Regions from separate parts of the Mus musculus genome. Here all the other regions are reported to be linked to region 2. The links are microRNA targets in miRTarBase. Many come from high-throughput screens and were not tested one by one. Region 2 holds a microRNA gene; each other region holds the end of a gene's coding sequence.

The links. The annotated mature microRNA mmu-miR-691 reads AUUCCUGAAGAGAGGCAGAAAA and lies in region 2 at 2,935-2,956, shown strand. An mRNA with a match to its seed (bases 2 to 7 or 8) in the 3' UTR can be bound and repressed. Matches are read on the target gene's strand: a 7mer-m8 pairs with bases 2 to 8, a 7mer-A1 pairs with bases 2 to 7 and ends in A, and an 8mer does both.
Region 1: miRTarBase lists Tnfrsf26 as a target of mmu-miR-691. Seed matches in the 3' UTR shown: 7mer-m8 at 2,316-2,322.
Region 3: the mRNA of Dapl1 is a reported target of mmu-miR-691. Seed matches in the 3' UTR shown: 8mer at 1,271-1,278.

What each region holds. Positions count from the first base shown.
Region 1 is chr7:143,604,807-143,610,864 of GRCm38, reverse strand. Tnfrsf26 (tumor necrosis factor receptor superfamily, member 26) reads left to right here. Exons shown (of 8, transcript NM_175649.5): 8 at 805-3,180. The coding sequence ends at 821. Among named protein-coding and RNA genes, the nearest start is that of Gm15579, 7.7 kb to the right of the region's middle.
Region 2 is chr16:74,338,903-74,344,960 of GRCm38, reverse strand. Mir691 (microRNA 691) reads left to right here and starts at 2,894; the gene lies at 2,894-2,971. The region is part of intron 2 of Robo2 (roundabout guidance receptor 2); the gene reads left to right.
Region 3 is chr2:59,503,609-59,509,666 of GRCm38, forward strand. Dapl1 (death associated protein-like 1) reads left to right here. Exons shown (of 4, transcript NM_029723.3): 4 at 1,103-1,412. The coding sequence ends at 1,219. Among named protein-coding and RNA genes, the nearest start is that of Gm39831, 5.5 kb to the right of the region's middle.

The DNA of each region.
Region 1 (6,058 bases), not on the chromosome of region 2:
TTGAGATGTTGTAACAGATGACTGCAAAGTGGGGGTCAGCTCATCAGGGATGTACTGTCTCCTCATTCTCATGGCTAGAAATCTAAACCTAGAGCTAGTCAGTCCTTGGCTTGAGGCAGCTTAAACTGTGTGCCATCATCTTCAGATGGCCCTCTCTCTGCCTGACCAGTCCTTGGAGTATGTCCTCACCTATAAAAATCTATCCAACTAAGACCCTAGCTACAGGAGACGGGTCAGGACATGGATTTATCTTTTGGAAGCCATAGATCACCCCAGGGTAGGCTTGTCTTAGAATCTCTCTGGTCAGATCCTGATGTCACATGGTGTATCTCTCCCTGGCTGGCCCTCCAAATACACGGCATCTCATCTTCTCAACATGCCTTGGGTGGGGCTAACCACCTTGCCAGGCACTTCCCTGAATGCTGGAGGCTTCATTAGGATAAGGAAGGGCAAGGTCAACCTCCATAAACTATTCACCCGGAGCCTCTGGCCTTCCTAGAAGACACCAGAAGTTCTTTCCATTAGGCTTCCATTAGACACCATTAGTTCTTTCCATGTCAGGCTTCGCTGCTTTCTGCCACCTGAGTAACAGATGGATAATAGGTTAGTGACAGTCTTGATCAGCCCTGTCCCAGCCTGGGTCTCCTGACCACTGGGTATTACTTGAGGACACAAAGAGCCTCTCCTATCCTGAGAAGCAGAATCACAGAACCACTGCAACTTTCCTCCTCAACATTCAAGAGATATAAATAGACCGACCCTTGGTTGTGTGTGTGTGTGTTCACTTTGTGTTTTATTTTCCAGCCTCCACTATGCTATGAAGCTCCGGAAAGTAAGCAGATGGCATTCCTGAAGATCACTGGATTTAAGGAAGTCGAGGAAGCAATGAACACTATTGTTTCTAAACTGGAGACTGACCTTGCAGGAATGTATTTGCAAACTGTGGCAACTTAGCTGCTAAAAATTGTGTTTGCTTCACCCTCGAGCTAGAGTCAAGTGTCCTTTGATACAGGACTGAAACATTCCAAATAGCCCATCTGAATTTGGAGCTGACATTCATCCCACTGCATACCCCGTGGACCCCCAGATATATGATGTGCCCTTCTCTCTTGTGAAGACCAGAGGGTTTCTCTCTGTATGCAGCCAGAGGGCTTCTCTCCTTGAAGCCTGCCTTGGCTGGCCTCAGAGTTAGGAGGTTTTGTGCTGTGAACTCGTAAGCTAAAGTCAGTTTGGGTTCATGGTGCTCAGTATGTTTTCCTAGAAGGCAAGGATGGGAGGACCCAAAAATGTTGTCCTTTGAGCCCACATCAGGATGTGGCCCAGACAAGGTGCTTTGTTATCCATAAAAACCCATAACAAAGCCCCTGGCAGGCCAGCCTGAGCAACTGTGGACTTTGCCACATCAGACACTGGGAATAGTGTCTGTGTTTTTAGGCTCTCCATCCCCCAGGCATCTCAGAACTAGCCTTAGTCTTTAGTCCTCTCAACCCACAGTGAGCAGATGGAGGTGTGAATGGGAATTTCTCAGAAGCTATGTCTACATAAGTTAATTGATTAATTTATTATTATTTTATTTTATTTTTGGTTTTTAATAAGATAGGATTTCTCTATGTAGCCTTGGCTATCCTGGATCTCCCTTTGTAGGCTAAGCTGACCTGGAACTCACAGAGATCCACCTGCCTCTACCTCCTGAGTGCTGGGATTAAAGGCATACACCATCACTGCCTGGCTTAACATTTTAATGATGTAGAGAGGCATAGCTTAGGCTGTTCCAACCTAAGCAATGTCTTGCCTCCCTCTGGGTCAGAACTAACATGCTGTAGAGGGCACAAGGTTCTTGTGCTCACAGAGAAGTAGACCTGTTTTCCACCCAGATGTCTGGGAATGGATATAGTTAACATCCTGGTGTTCTGTGCTATTTGTAGACCTAGCACACACTTGAACAGACTATTGTCTTTGTTTATCCCAGACTCTTCCTCCATAGGCCTTTTGCCTGCCAATAGGCCCTTTTCTTGAATACTGTTGCTCAATAAATCTCATCCTTATAGGAGATGTCACTGTCACTTGTATATTAGAAAAGCCTAGGGGACCTCTGTGCTACCTGTAGGGCCAGGCCACTCTTGACTGCCACCGATTTTTATATGTGTTTATCCCAGATTTTTTCTTCTTAGACCTGTATCTCCAGCACTGTTTGTGAGTCAATAGACCTCTACCTCTGCCAAACTTATCTTGTTTTGTTTGTTTGGTTGGTTTGTTTTCTTGGTGTAGCCCCAGATGTCCTGGAACTCACTCTGTAGACCGGTCTGGCCTCAAACTCAGGAATCTACCTGCCTCTGCCTCCCAAGTGCTGGGATTGAAGTTGTGCATCACCATGCCAAGCTAACAGATCCCGTCTTTACGGAAGAGGCCATAAGTACTTTGTAAACTGTGTCAATGTCAACCTGTCTTAAGCATTATTGTACATAAGTGACCGAGTTAATTATCATCAAAAAACTTCCCCCGGAAATTTGTGCTGTGCTTAAATACAGCTAAAGTAAACTGCTGGGGTCAGACTCTAGAAGTTTGACCTAGCATAGGCTAAGTTGTGTTGAACTGGATTTCCTTTTGGCCTCAAATGGATCATTAGGCTGCCAGCCTTGGTGTTTGCAGAGATCCCCAAACATCCTGACAACAGATTTAAACCAAACCAAACCAAACCAAACCAAACCAAACCAAACTAACCAACACTATAGAACTATTCACTTGATAAAACTATTCTCCACCAGTCCAAGTACTGTGAATGCTGTCATATATCTGAAGCCAGAGCTGAGATTATCACTGTGCTGTAACGTTTAACCCTTCCTCTAGTGTGTCTGAAGAACGCCTTACTTTATAACTTTTTGTTCTGTTCTACAAAACTCCATGGAGCCATGAAATTGGGGTACCTAAATCTATGCTTCTAGGGCCATGGTCACTGAAATTTGGGTACGAAATAAAGTATTTCTAATTCCTTTTGAAAGCTGTGTTTTTGCTTCTACTTCAGGACTAGGGATGATGTCAGGCCCCAAGACCCGTTTGTGTGCTTTGAGCTTTTTGAAATATTAATGCTACCAAGGTGGTGCTTCTGCTCAAAGTTGTACAATATCACAGTATGTGCTTTGACCATTTCCTTTTTCTTTGTATTATGTGATGGTTGATTCTTAATTAAAAAACATTTTACTTGATATGTAATGATGTGTTTTAGTTAGGTTTCTATTGCTGTGGCAGACACTAAGACCAAAAGCAGCCTGGGGGAAAGAGTTTGTTTCGTTGTACACCTTGTAGTCCATCACGAAGTAAAGTCAGGGCAGGAATTCAAGCAGGAACCTGGAGGCTGGAACTGAAGCAGAGACCACAGAGGAAGACTTGCTCCTTATGGCTTTCTCAGCCTGCTTTCTTGCATACCTCAGAACCACCTGCCCAGGGGGTGACACCACCCACAGTGGGCTGGGCCCTCCCACATCAATCATTTTTTCAACAAAATGTAGCCAAGTGTGATGGCCCAAATCTTTAATCTCCAAATGGAAAGCAGGCAGATCTGTATGAGTTCTAGGCCATTCTGGTCTACATATAAGTCCCAGAACAGAGACTAGAGAGACCCTGTCTCAAAAAATAAAAGGTCCCACAGGCTTGCCTATTGTCTTATGGAGGCAATTTTTCAAATATGGTTGAAATGTTGAGATAACTCAAGCTTTTGGCAAGTTAACAAAACAAAACAAAACAAAAAACAACTAACCAGGACAAGGGGTTTTGCCCTGCATGTGCCTATGTACCACATCCATGCCTGGTGCCATGCAAGCCATAAGAAAGCCTTGGAAACTCTGGAGCTGGAATTATAACTGGTTATAAGCTACATGGATACCAGTAATTGAACCCAGGTTCCACTGAGTCATCCATCTAGCCCCCTGAGGGTTAATTATGGTTTTCAGTACAACATGATCTCTTGTGCATGCCCTGGCTCGCCAGCAAGAACGACGCTGCAACAGGATCCTTCTGCACATTGGGAGAGCTTGATTGCAGAGGCGAAGAGACCCTAATCCCAGAACTGGTGCTGCTTATATAGGCCTAGGAGAGGCGTGTCTCACACCCGGATTGGTTATGCATGGGTTATGCTTACCACCTCATTTGCATGTCTCACATCTGATTGGTTAACATGTCTCTCATCTGATTGGTTAACTTCTTTCTCATCTGATTGGTTAACTTGTCTCTCATCTGATTGGTTAACTTGTCTCTCATCTGATTGGTTAACTCTCAAAACCTCATCTTGGCAAAAAAAACTTTACTGCCTATGTATGCGTGGTGGCCAGCGGTAACCAGCGCCACCCTGCAATGGCACATGTGGCTTCCCACAATGATCTAGAGTCGCCCAGGAGGTGACTACAGGCATACCTCTCAGGAAATTTCTAGATCCAGTTAATTAAGGTGTAAATAAACTGTGAGCCCAAACACACTTTCCCTGCTTTTGTCAAGTGTTCCCCCTGTCCCCTCTCTGAGACTCAATCATACTCTGTAGATTAGGCTGGCTTTCCTCTGCTTCCTGAGTGCTGGGATTAAAAAAATATACACCATCATACCCAATAGGTCTTTTGTTTGTTTCTGTTTTGTTTTGTTTTTAGACAGGGTTTCTCTGTGTAGCCCTGGGTGTCCTGGAACTCATTCTGTAGACCAGGTTGGCCTCAAACTTGGGAATTGCCTGCCTCTGTCTCCAGAGTGCTGGGATTAAAGGTGTGCACCATCGACAGACACTTTTTTTTTACCTTTTTTTTTTTTTTTTTTTTTGGAGACAGAATTCCACTCTGTAACCCTAGACAAGTGCCTTTTAATAGTGTGCACCACTACATTTGGCTGTTGTTTTAATATCATATTAATGTGTGTTTGTGGGGGGTGGGGTGGGGGCATATCCACCTGAGTGCAGGTGTCCTTGGAGGCCAGAGAGGTCGGATCCCCTGTAAATTAGAGTTAAAAAGCAACTGTGCGCTGGGAACTGAACTCTGGTCCTCTGAAAGAACAGCATATGCTCTTAATTGCTGAGGCATCATCCCAGCCCCTGGGGTTGATTTTTCAGACAGGATCTCACTCTTTGCCCAGGCTGGCTATCTGTGCAGTCCAAGCCTCAGACACACAGTCATTTGTAAAAGCCACCACATCAAAAGTTAATGCTTGGAGTCCCGAAGAAAGAGCAGTGATATGCACAGAGAGACACATGGACTCTCTGGGTTCCTTATACATGGAAAAGAGAACCCTATCTTACATTTTGGTATATTAAAAGGCTGAGTGGGGTTACTGGGTTACTGCGAGTGTAGGCCTTATCTACAGCCTTAGAGGTCAAAAGTGGTCAGAGCTTCCTGTGAATATACTTCCCTAAAATGGTACAGCAAAAGGCATTTCCTTTGGGAAATCAGACTACAGTGGTTTCCATTCGGAAGAGACTTGTGATCACCAAACAGAGATAAACTGAATCACAGATTACCTTTGAGTTTAGATTTACCCTTGTTGGAGTCCACTGAAAGACCCTCACTCACAAAGACCTGAGACAGAGATCACTGCAAACTGCAAGAGGTTTATTGACCAAACGTGTTGGGGTCCCTCAGCACTCAGGCAAGAGGAGACCCCAAAGGAACAAAGAGCACACTTTTTCTACCTTGTAAGGGGCAGATTTAGGCAACAGAGCTAGCTGGCTTGTTCTAATTAGTGTAGCAAGTGACCCTTTCAGGCATTGGTTGGTTTGCATGGGGTGACTACCTTTGGCCTAGTGCCTCACTCTGCCTGCCCTTGTTTTTTTTTTTTTTTTTTTTTTCTCAGCATTGTTTAGTCGGCCAGCTTTCTTATCTGGTTCTGCACTTGGCCTGCTAATATAGTTTGGAAAGTCCCTTCAGAGGGGAAAGGGGCTGGGTGGTCTTGAATTTATTTTGGATTCTACACTCTCAATGAAAGCTTTACAGGCTGTCTGTATAGCAAATCATCCTCCTGCCTCAGCCTCCAAAGTGCTGGGATCACAGGTACGTGACCATCGCCTGTAGCTCCTGCCTTACGCTTTTTA
Region 2 (6,058 bases):
CATGGTTTATTGAATTCTAAAGATAGCTGTTAGATTTGTTTAAGTGTATTCTCTCTCTCAGATATGTGTGAGATATAAAATTCACTTCTGTGTTTTCATACAGACATAAGATTTGCACCTAGGCAGACCTAGCTCTCAAGAATGTTTTCTTAATCACTCGGTTAAGCTTACACATTGATTAATTTAAACAAGCAAACAAAATCATTTGGCACTTTGAGACAAAAAATCATTAGTGTTGATTTGGGGTATTTTATCTAGAGACCATGGCCCAGTTGTGTGTACACAATGGAGATACCTGAAGAGATGAGAAGAGATAGAAGATTCTGTGTTGGTTTAGATATTCTGTGTTGTGTAAGATATTAAAGAAAAGAAACAATACTTTTCTATGTTTTGTTTAGTTATATATTGACAGTTGAGAGCTCATTAGTTTATTCAAGTAATTTGATTTTCTCTTTACAGTTCCTAGTTGTCAAATATCAGTATCAGGAAAATCCATCACTTTCAGTTGTTATTGACATGTTTGGAGGTTAAGATGTCTTGAAGATTAACAATCCAATTTATAAAATGAGTCATCTGTGATTTCAGATACAGAGAGAAGTGGACTAAGTTTACAAAATAAGAGTATCACAATAGCAGCCATGTCTTATAACTTTTAAGAGTTTTCTGACTCATTAATATTTTCATGGTTCTTTTGTGTTTGCTGCTATGTGTGTCTATAAACCTCTTCTGGTTATCATAGTTTTTAAGGTCAACATATAATTTCATTAACATTGGCCAGTTTGACTTTTCAATTATTGTATTTCTTTAGTTTTTAATTTTAGAAAATAATCCAATGTTTTCAATGTTTAATGCCAAAAGTAGCAAATATCCATAGGCCAAATAGAAAGTGAACAAATACTTCAGAGATTAATTCCAAATAGATCATATATTTAAAGTATCAGCTAAAACTATATAATTCTAAAGTATAACATAGAAAGAAGAACAAACAACCCCCAAACCATCTACCTAAATATAATTATCAACAAGGAAAAACAATGCCCATGATTGATTTTATTAAAATTAGAATCTTCTGAAATATCCCACCTTCCTTAAGAATATAAAAAGATTAGTTTCAGACTGAGAATATATAGATATATACATGTCTATACAGTACATAAACAACAAATGATAAAATACACACAAAATAAAATGAGATATGTTACACATATTCTTAATGGCACATAAGCACAGTGAAGCATTGTTGTCCATAGGAAGTGCAATAAGACTATCAAAAAAGATGTATATATGTTTCATTACAGAATTCTTGTGAGGATGCAGTGTAACTGATTTCTACATGCATTACTGATAAAAACCCAAAGAGGTATATTCACAATGCAATACAGTTTATCAGGTCCATGAGCACTAAATTCTACTTACCATCTTATTGCACATCTAAGCATTTACATCAAAGAAATGTTAACATGCACACAAACACACAATCCTAGATGTATGTGTGATAGCAGAAGGTAAGACAGGACTGAACTGTCCCTCATTGAAATGAATGATTAAACAGAGCAGTCTGTATCCACACTATGGAATACTACTCAGCAATAGAAAGAATTGAATTATTGATATACAGAACGATGCAGATGGGTCTCATGGGTATTATGGTGGATCTGAAAATGGCATTTTAAAGGGCATTCCAAAAGGTCGAATGCTATAAAATTCCATTTACATAATATTCTCAGGATCAGAAAATTATAACGATAGAAAGCAGATTAGTGGTTTTAAAAAGTCAAAGATATGGAGTCAGGCAGGACTGATTATGACTCAGAAGGAATAGTGGGAGGAGACTATAGACACAACATAATTCTGTATCTATGTTATTATGCTAGGTATGCTAGTGTATAGATGTATCAATGGAATAAAACTCCATACATCCATTATTCTGTGGAAGTTTCATGGCTTTAATACTACCATAGAATTAACATAAAAAGAAGTTAAAATGAGGACAGGACCCATAACGGAGTCAGATCCATGATGCAGTGAACAGATTTCAACACATCTGGACCATAGAAATTCTAGCTTTAAGTCTTCTTAATATAGTAGTAATTTAAATTAAGAAATATAATTCAGCTTTATCCTGTGCGACAGTAACTACTCTTGTAAACGCTCATTTTGAGTATTGTTTAAATTCACCATTAAAGCTGGAAGCCTACTTGAAGACAGCTGCCAAGTATGTAAGGTTATGGGAAAAAGCTGAAAAGTAGGGAATTTTGATCCTTGATCAATAGACACATAAAGTCATCTGTAGGTTCCTCTCGGTTTTGCAAGCAGACCGTGAGCTCTTTTATGAAATAGAAAATAAATGGCGTTCTATGAAGCTTGAGTAGACAGAGAAGGAAAAACTAGTGGAAGTTTCAGACTCACAGGATTCTTGTGGGCCATGATTTGATGGGTCTTCTTTCCTTGGACCATAATGGCTTAAAGGTTAACCAAGCTAGTAGGGTATTTTACCTAATGAATGTAATCTTTGAAGTACAAATTTGCTGATGTGGCTTCACCTTGTATATTCCCCTCTAAAGGAAATGAAACAAATCACGAGGCTGAGAATCTCATACCCTTTTCAGTTATGAAATAATTCTTATTACTTCTCTATTTACAAGAAACCCCACAAACTGAAATTAAATTCATGATTTTTTTCTCTTCTTTTTCTTATCATCTTTAATCACAATTCAATGGGAAAAATTCCCAGGAAAATTGTGAATTTTTATCTTAATATCTATTTTGAAATCCTTGGAGATTATAATCAATTAAATTAAATACATTTTGTAAAACAGCCCTTCATTTAGAACATATAATTTCCTAGGATGCCCATGTCTGTATTGAAGAGAAGGTTGAAAGAAAGTTTCTTGCTGATTTATTTTTGCTTTCTTCCTTGGGTCTGCTTTGAATATTCCTGAAGAGAGGCAGAAAATGTTATATTTAATATCCATATAGGATCTTCATTTTAGAATGGTGGTTTCTATCAGTATCCTCTTGTTAAAAGGCGGTACCTATAAATGGGTCAACTTAAGAAAACCTTCCTGAATTATTTGGATAAGCTGATGGAGTCTAATCTTCAAATGTCTATGTTATTTGTAGAGATGCCAGAATCTCAATTTATTTCACCTTTTCCTTTTTCTGACACATCATAAGAAAATGCTTTACTAATGAAGTACCCATTGGTAGTAACCCATTATGTGCGAGAGTCTCTCCTTACATCAGATGACATGCAAATGAACTGCTCAATTTCTGTGGCAAAGGAGAGCTGAGGAGTGGTCTAGTTAATCACACTTGAGGGCTGCCCTAGATGTCATCTGGGAAATATGATCATTATTCATTCTTATTTAAGGGCCCTTACCCTGTGCATAAGATAATCTCCCATTCATTCCATTTGGGTTTGATGTTAATTATGGGAGCATTCATAGAAGTTTCTTGCAAGAAATGAATGTGAGGTTAAACCTAGAGTGTGAGGAAGAAAGAGAATTTGTGGGTCCGGTGACTATAAAACCATGCAAGCAGTTGCAAGTGAGATGTCAGAAACCTCAGAGAGCATCTACATCAGTTTGAAGCAGATAAAAGTGGAATAGAGAGATGAAACGACTTACGAAAGCCTGCAGTGGGTACAGGAAGTTATCTTCATCTACAAATGAGGTAGCCAGGTGCATCAGTCACCTATATAGGGAAAGGATAGTTGTGTGAGTTGAAACCATCACGTTGGGTCCTGTCCAGTGATTAACTAGCCAGTGATTTTGTCAAACCATTTAACTTTCTGCATTTGTTTTCTTAGTATATGATAAAATGACCAGACTAGAGCATTTCTTCTTCCGAGAAGAGGAGACCAAGTAAGATCTTTAATAGGAGAATATGCAACTTTGAATTGAATATACTGGAAATTTCTTCAAGAACTTTTGAGTTATCAGCCCTAAATATCAAGCAAATTTGACTCCAGTACTTTTGAATTTGCTATTACATTAGTTGTTATAAAAAAAAAAAAACACTGCTGTTTATTTGGATACTATTTCTTTTCTTTTTCAGTATTTCTCCATGTGAACTCTAGTTGACAACAATTGATAATGTCATGAATAGAATGAGTTTTCCCTTAATCTCACATGTCTTTTGAGGCATCAACCACTCATGTGTGCGTGTATGCACAGCCCTTGTTCACCTTGTGGCCATGGAATTAAGTCATTTTTCTTTTTCAACCACCCATGCAGGTCTAACGTAAATTGTTTTTTGAAAAATTATATATGTCTTAAGCCAATATTTCTTGTCTGGTGAAGCATAACATGTATAGATATAAATTCCTAGTATAGGTTAAATTCTGTTTTGTTTTTTTCTAAAGCAAAATAAAAATTTTGATCTATTTATTTGACTTATATATTGAATTTTACTTAGTAAAAATTCATAGATTTTATTTATCAAAGAACTAATCAAAAATATGATTTTATAAAGAATTGTTTTTATACTATTTCAAATAATATATGTCTGAGAAAAAACAAATACATTTGATATTAGTTTTAGTATATATGGTTGCTTTTCTATGGATATTTATATTAGTTTTTTAAAAATAATTTATTTGCATTATTTTACTGTTTATATACAAGTTACTGGTTTATAAATTCAATAAGCTTGAGGAAATTCTTATATTTATCTTCATAATTACGTACCATTTTTCTACATCTTTGATTTTAGTAACCTTAATAGTTATAGGTACTCTGTGGAGTTGATTCAGTTTTGTTTAATATTGTAGTAAAAGATGAAAATGCTACAAATATAAATAAACAAGTGTATTCAGTCAAATAAGATACTTTTACCCCCTTTTAAAAATATGTCTTCAAGCAACATTTAAAGAACACAAGTCCCAGCTTTAACACATGTTCTGAAAACAGATATATCCTAATTTTTAATCTCATTAATCTCATCCTTCCAAAATACAATGGTGGAAGTCCTCCATAACACCCTTAGCTTATAACATGGTAGGATGATGATGATGACAATAATAATAATAATAATAATAATAATAATAATAATAAAGTGCTGGTGCACTATTACAGGAAAAGTTTATTTTCACTTTTTTTATGATATATTTGTGACTACTAGTCCATATGAAACATTTAGAGACCAAACTAACACATTTAAAATTTTTTACTAATTTTACAGGGTAAATTATTAGGGTCAATGGTAGTTCATGGACTAACCAAATTTTTATGGTCCCCTTTAAAATGAATCACATACTTTCTGAAGAATTTAAAGGTATTTTATTCTTCATTCTTCAAAACCATTTTTTTTTCCATAAAATGGCATTTTGAATTCTAGTAGCCATGTAGAAACTGTTTGCTGTCATATGTAGCATCAGCGGAAAAGAGGGACTGGATCGTGTTGTTCAACACATCTTCTTTTACCTAGAGCAGGGCTCTCACGTGCTCTGACCTTTGGAGTGACTGTTGTCTTGAGTGATGTACTTAATGAGATCTAATGACATCATGACCCTGACCCCTTCATGGCCCTTGCTCTTCTCATCCATCTTCTTAACCCCACAGGCTGTGAGTCAGTGTATAGAAGGAGGATTAAACAAGTGTGAATAAACAAGTTCACGAGTGTTCAGCCTCAGCTGCTGGTGCATGGCGGTGGCAAAGTAAGGCATAGAGAGTTTAACACCGACAAAGTGCCTTAGGCAGCACCATGAATCCTGCTGCAGAAATCACCCCTCAATGTCATGTAGCTAGTCTCCTAGCTTGGCCCACTCCTGGTCAGGGGTGACGGTTGGCCTTTATAATCACATAGCTGTTGGCACAGTCAATGAAAAGATGGCTGATCTATCGCTTACCCAGTGTCACAGATGACTAGAGCTTTTATCTCATTAACTGTGATTAATGTTTGTGAGGCATGGGCTTGTCATGGAACCGTCCATATTCAGCAATGTTGAATACCTCCTCCTACATGATGAGTGAAGGCCATTTCCAGAGGAGAACATTCTCCAGCCTGATTTTCAAATTATCATTTCCACTCTGGGGTGTCTGATGGAGTTCTACCC
Region 3 (6,058 bases), not on the chromosome of region 2:
GCACATGTTTTCCCTAGTTTAGAAGAACCCAGTGCAACCATAAACAATGTGCTCCTCAGGGTCATAACAGTTTATCCGCTTTTATTTAGTTTGAGTATCAAAGCAAGGGCGTTCAAATTCAATAGTGATAAATTCAATGCTAGCAAGCCACGGCCCCACTTCCTGGCTGGCTAACAGCCCGGTCTTGAGGTACCTTGGGACACTATTGATGAGCTTGAAAACGCAAAACTGAACAGGCCCAAAGGTCACTGAGTTCGAACTCTTCCTAGGAAGAGTGTGTGCATCACTCAGCAGCTCCGAAGCCCTCTCATCTTAAGCATCACTGGATGTAAATCTCACAGGACCTTTGGTCAAAAGCAAATATCTGTTACTGGCAGCAAGTCTCCCGGCATGTAAGCCCACTTCCTCACAGCCAAGTCATGAGAATCATTTTCACCTGCAGCTAGTTGCTTTTCAATGTTCCTTCACCAAGCTGTTTAGTGGACTGGGAGGAATGGCCAACATCAGACTCTTTACTGAAAAAGAGTTACAATTTCAGATGTGCTGCCCTAACACGTAAACTGACACTTTGTAACTTCTTTCAAGGGCTCTTTTTCTCCTGATTGTTAGATAATTAATTGAAGAATCCACCCCCCCTTCCCAAACCTCTTAATACCTCCCCATGCTTGGTAGAATATAACGATCTATTCCACACGCTAATGCTAGAATCACTCTTACTTTACAGAGCATGGACACAGGTAATGCTTCACCATTTCTGCTTTTCAAAATGGGACCTCAGAGCAAATATATAGCATGGGGTGACGGCACAGGTTTCTGATCCCAGCCCTTAGAAGGCTGAGGCTGGAGGGTCATGAGTTCAAGGCCAGCCTAGACTTTGACTTATATATGTCATATACTCTTATGATGATGAAAGGTAAAGACACATTAGTGAAGGAAACAGTGTATCACACAAACACACTCCCCTCCATAGCCTGAGGATGGGCAGTGCTGTGGAAGGAGGGTCTTGGGGAAGGAAGGTCTTATCTAAGAAGTAGAGACTGCGACTTGACCAGTGGACCCAGTGGATCCGATATGCTTATTTCTTCTCCCTCTTCACCTTCAGCTCAACCATAAATTTCCAGCGACAGTTCACACGGCACATCAAAAGCCCACACCCGCTCTGGAGAAGGCTGCTCCAATGAAGAGGGCCTACATTATTCAGCAACCTCGAAAATGTTAGACCAGGACAGAAAACACAGCCACCTGGTCAACTCTCCCACAATCTGACAGCTCAGGAAAAAAAAAAAAAAAAAAAGAAAAAAGAAAAGGTCAATACTTCCTGTAGGCCTGCTGCCCTTGCTTGGTAAATAAACCAACTTTTGTATCTTCCCTTTTCCCTTTAGATAATAAAGTTTCCAAAATTATGAATCCAATACATACCTGTGCTCCTTTTGTTATGTATGTATGTATCGGGATCCTACCGGAACTCTCTATGTAATTCTGCAGCATGTGAGAGTGATCCAGAACACATAACTAGTCCATCTACCACAGTAGTTACTAAGGAGAGTGGGCCCTGCACCTCATCTGGGTATCATAGTAATGCTGGGTAAACTGACTGTAAGGACATGAGTGTGGGAGAGCTGGCCCTGCCACTTGTCTGCTATTTGGTGACATAGTCAAGGAAGAGATACCCCCCACACCTTGCCCCTTGCCACCTATGGCAGGCAGGAGAGCTGGCCCTGAGGTCATCAGAGCAGGAGAGCTGGCCTAGCCCACAACTGCTCAACACCTGGGAGAACAGCCGTGTACCTCTTTTGAGCTCAGGGTAGAGCTGGCCCAAGAGTGTAAGAATGGGAGAGCTGGTGGACTGACCAGCTCAGATACCTCTCAGGCTCAGATCCAGGGCTTTGAGTTGGCCTACCCAACATCTATCCCATTGATGAACTGCTAAAGTGCATGAAGGGGCTGGTCCTGTAGATCCAAAACTATAGGATCTCCATGACACAGGGCAACAACAAGGATCTCTGAGAGGAGTCCCAGAGAGGTTCCAATATTGATAGAGTAGCAGAAGCCAGAGGCCTAGTACCAGACTCAATGCAATGAACATTTGCAAGCATAGAAGTATAGACCAAAGGGTATACTGTGGGACACACTGACACACTACAGCTTCCACAATGAGATTTGTTTTCTCTGTTGGGGGTAAGCTGCAAGAGCAGAGAGGGCAGGTATGAAGGGAGGGGGAAGTGAGTGGGATTGGGGTGCCCCATGTGAAATTCACAAAGAGTCAATACAAAGTTTTTTTAAAAAGGAAAAGAAAATTAATTTGAGGCAATATCAAGCTTTCAGTCAATATCAACATGCATCCATAAAATAGTCCTAACCACTCCACCCTGGCTTAGCCCAGTTCCCAGTACTCTGAGCCAATGTCAGGAAATTCTAAGATTTAGGAGACAGGGTTCTGCTTCTGTCCCTTGCTGGTTCTAAAACCTTAAACTAGCTACTTACCCTCTGTGACCGTCGTCAAATGGATGCAATCACACATGTCTCCCGCAGCAGAAACCTTCAAGATAAAGTGACTGCTAAGACTCATCAAAGCTACTTAAGAGTAGTGAGCATACAGTAGAAGCTCCAGCCTGAGAATGCTAAGAGATGAACAGCAAAGGATGAAGCTCAATGTAAAGAATCCAGGGGGATGCCAAGGATTTGGGTCTGAAGGGAAGAACATGGGGTGCATAAGAGAAATGACAAGAGGGTCCTGTCACCCAAGGGGTATGAGACAAGAGGAAGGGCATCGTTCTCTCTGTCCAGAGATGAAGGACATCTTAGTCAGGGTTTACTGCTGTGAACAGACACCATGACCAAGGCAAGTCTTACAAGGACAACATTTAATTGGAGCTGGTTTACAGGTTCAGAGGTTCAGTCCATTATCATCAAGGTAAGAGCATGGCAGCATCCAGGCAGGCATGGTGCAGAAGGAACTGAGAATTCCACATCTTCATCTGAAGGTTGCTAGCAGAATATTGGCTTCCAGGCAGCTAGGATGAGGGACTTAAAGCCCACACCCACAGTGACAAACCTACTCCAACAAGGCTACACCTTCTAGTAGGCTGAGGATACACAAACCATAACAAAGGTTATGCCAAGATGGAGAATGCTCAAAAGCATGCGACACAGTGAGGACAAAGGCATTATTAATTCACATTCACAAGTGAGTTATTAGCTACACACCACCGGAAGCATCAAATCTGGTGTGACCTTTAGATCTGAACAGATACTGGAATTATCAGAAGAAAAAGGACCAGACCTATGAAAGAGTCTGTTGTTTTGTTTTGTTTTGTTTTGTTTAAAAAAAAGCCCAGCCTTTGATTTTACCAATGAAGACTTAGGAGCCAGATGCTGGGGTGAAAACCTGCGAGCTCGGAGAGGCAGAGAAAGCACCCAGCTGACCTTCCTGTTACACTAACATCCCAGAAGGAGAACGCCCACTCTCCTTCTCAACACTGTCTTAAATACCCTTCAACTCAAAGACCCTCCTTTCTCTTCGCTTATGTCTGCTCCCTGTTAGCTGGTTGCTTGCTCTGCCTCTTGACCTAAGTTTGATTTTATTTAGCTCTTGTGTTAAAGACGTGTGCTAAGGCTGAGCCACACCACAACAAGTTTTTCCCAGTTCACAAGCTTGGGGTTCACAGTGTGATCAAGTATCCTGCAACAAGAGTCAGTCCCACAGTGATAGGGCCATGCATGCGTACAGGCAAGGGGACTTCTCTATCACCCAGGGAGGACAATTCTTCATGGATGCTCTGTGACTTCCCTCAGGAGCTCCTGCTGTCAGTTTCCAGACAGACTCACAGCAGTTAGAAAGGGGTATCACCAGGCTGGGGATTTCCTGGTAGACAGTCCCTTCGGATTACTTTAGGTCAATAGAACACTCTGGGTTCAAAGATAAGAGTAAGAAACTTTCCCTGCCACCAGGAGCTCCCAGGACAGTGATAGAGCCATGGCTGTACATCAATAGAAAGCAAGGGTTGGTGCGTGTTTTAGGAAAGGATGTTATGAATGAAGCTCACGAAATCTCTTAAAGGTCATGTTCAATCGAGAAAACCATGGTGCCTGTGCAGACCAGTATAAGCCATGTCTAGGAAGTTAGTAAAACACTTTAGTTACACTATACTTTTAGAAATAACATACTGAAACACTGCTAGAGTTCACTATACTTCTGTACTGAAATTTTCAAACTTCCTCAAAGCTTAGGCCAATATAGCTATTGAACCTTCATGTGTTCATTACAGAGCTCCGACAATGTGACCAGTATTGTTTGCACCACGACACCCAGCTCCTTTCCTTCCTCCTGGGTTATTTCATAGCATGCTTCAAATACACAATCTCCTCTAGCCATGTTTCAGTATGTTATTTCTAAAGGATGAGTGTCTCTTCCCTTCCCTCTTTCCCCATTTCTTTGTCTCTGCCCTATACTTAGACAAGGCTTTTCACGAAGACTATGGAATAGAAGATAGTATTTTTGTAAACCATCAGGAATCCTTTACCATAAAATGGTGATTGCTGTTGCTACGCTCAACTACAAGAGCCAAACCAAGCAATCGGAAGACACAGGGCTGAGCCCAGCCCATGACACTGGAGCTGCATCGGGGAGAGTGAAGGATGGAAGATGGCTTTCAGACAGGAGGAGTGAGCAAAGGATATGAGAGGTTGCAGTACGTGAACTAGAAGGATGGAAAGAAAGCCGGAGAAAAGGAATTCTTGCTGAAAAGAATAAAGAGCCACATCTGAGGCCTCTCAAAAACCCAGGGTTGGAATAGACACCAAAGTAAACAAATGAATGGTGGATAAAACTGTATTCGCTCTGCACATACTTGGATGGCGGTCTGTATGAACTGTGATCTTCAGAAGGGGCCCAAGAGCAAGCCTTGCATCTGGCTTTTGTGGAGTTTGAAACACTAACATCTCTATGTCAGCTGGAGTCACTACCCACTTCTGAATAGATATGATTACCTCCCATCCACCCATGTGACCCTCTTACACACATACACACATCTAACACACACATACACATACACACACATCCATCACATGTGCAGTGGAAGCTCAAAATGTCCTCAAGAAGGCTGGGAATTCCCAGTAGTCACCTCTGATTGATGATAAATTTTTTCATTGCTTTCTGCCCCTGTCTACCACCCTATTCTAGATGCCTAGTTTTTTGTGCTGTCTGTCCCACAGTCTTCCTGTCCTTCTTCTTCTCATCTCCCCGACTCGAGCCAAATCAGCCATCAGCTATTTCTTGGGTACTTCAGAGAGTCGCTTTATCCCAACATAGCTTGCCAGCCCCAACAAGTTTGCCATCAACTGTCAGGACGTTATGATGGCATCCAAATATGACAGAGTAGCTAAGTGATGAATAATTAATTAGAAAACGTGAAATGACAGAACATAAGCCAAGGGAAATGAGAGGTTGAGAGAAAAAGAGCAGAAAATTTTCAAAGAAATAGCCAAGGCCTGAGAGAAAAATAAGCCTCTGGAAGGCTAAGTGGTCTCTGAGGTTAGGTGGGGGAGTTTCTCTGGGCATGCCTTAGCCTCAAGTCTGCAGTGGCCTCTTCCATCCCATAAGAACAAAGGCGAGGGAGGAAGCTGAGAATTCTCCAAATAGACAGGCTCCGCTGTAATTTTGACAAGAAACAGAACTGAATTTGAAGAAAGAAATCTTTGAGTGAAAAGACTGGCTGGGGAAGTAACCAAATTCCCCCACAGGGCAAGAGCCGCACAAGCTCGGGCTTCTAGTGTTTTGTTGAAAAGGTGCAGGTTGGAAGCTGAAAGATCATGAAAGTGAACAGGAGTTAGGCAGGGGGGGGGGGAGATCCAATGCACTGATGTGAGCCCTCAAAGGGACCCAGAAAGATAAAGGGAAGTTTGAACAAGATCCCTTGCCTGTGTACAGCAGAAGGCTTGAGCCAGGGAGACGAACCAGGCACAGAGGAGACAAAGAGTCACCTCTTCATTAAAGCCTACATCTTCAGACTGCAAGGTATAGTGACCAAATGTAGAGTTTCAAAACAATCAATAATTA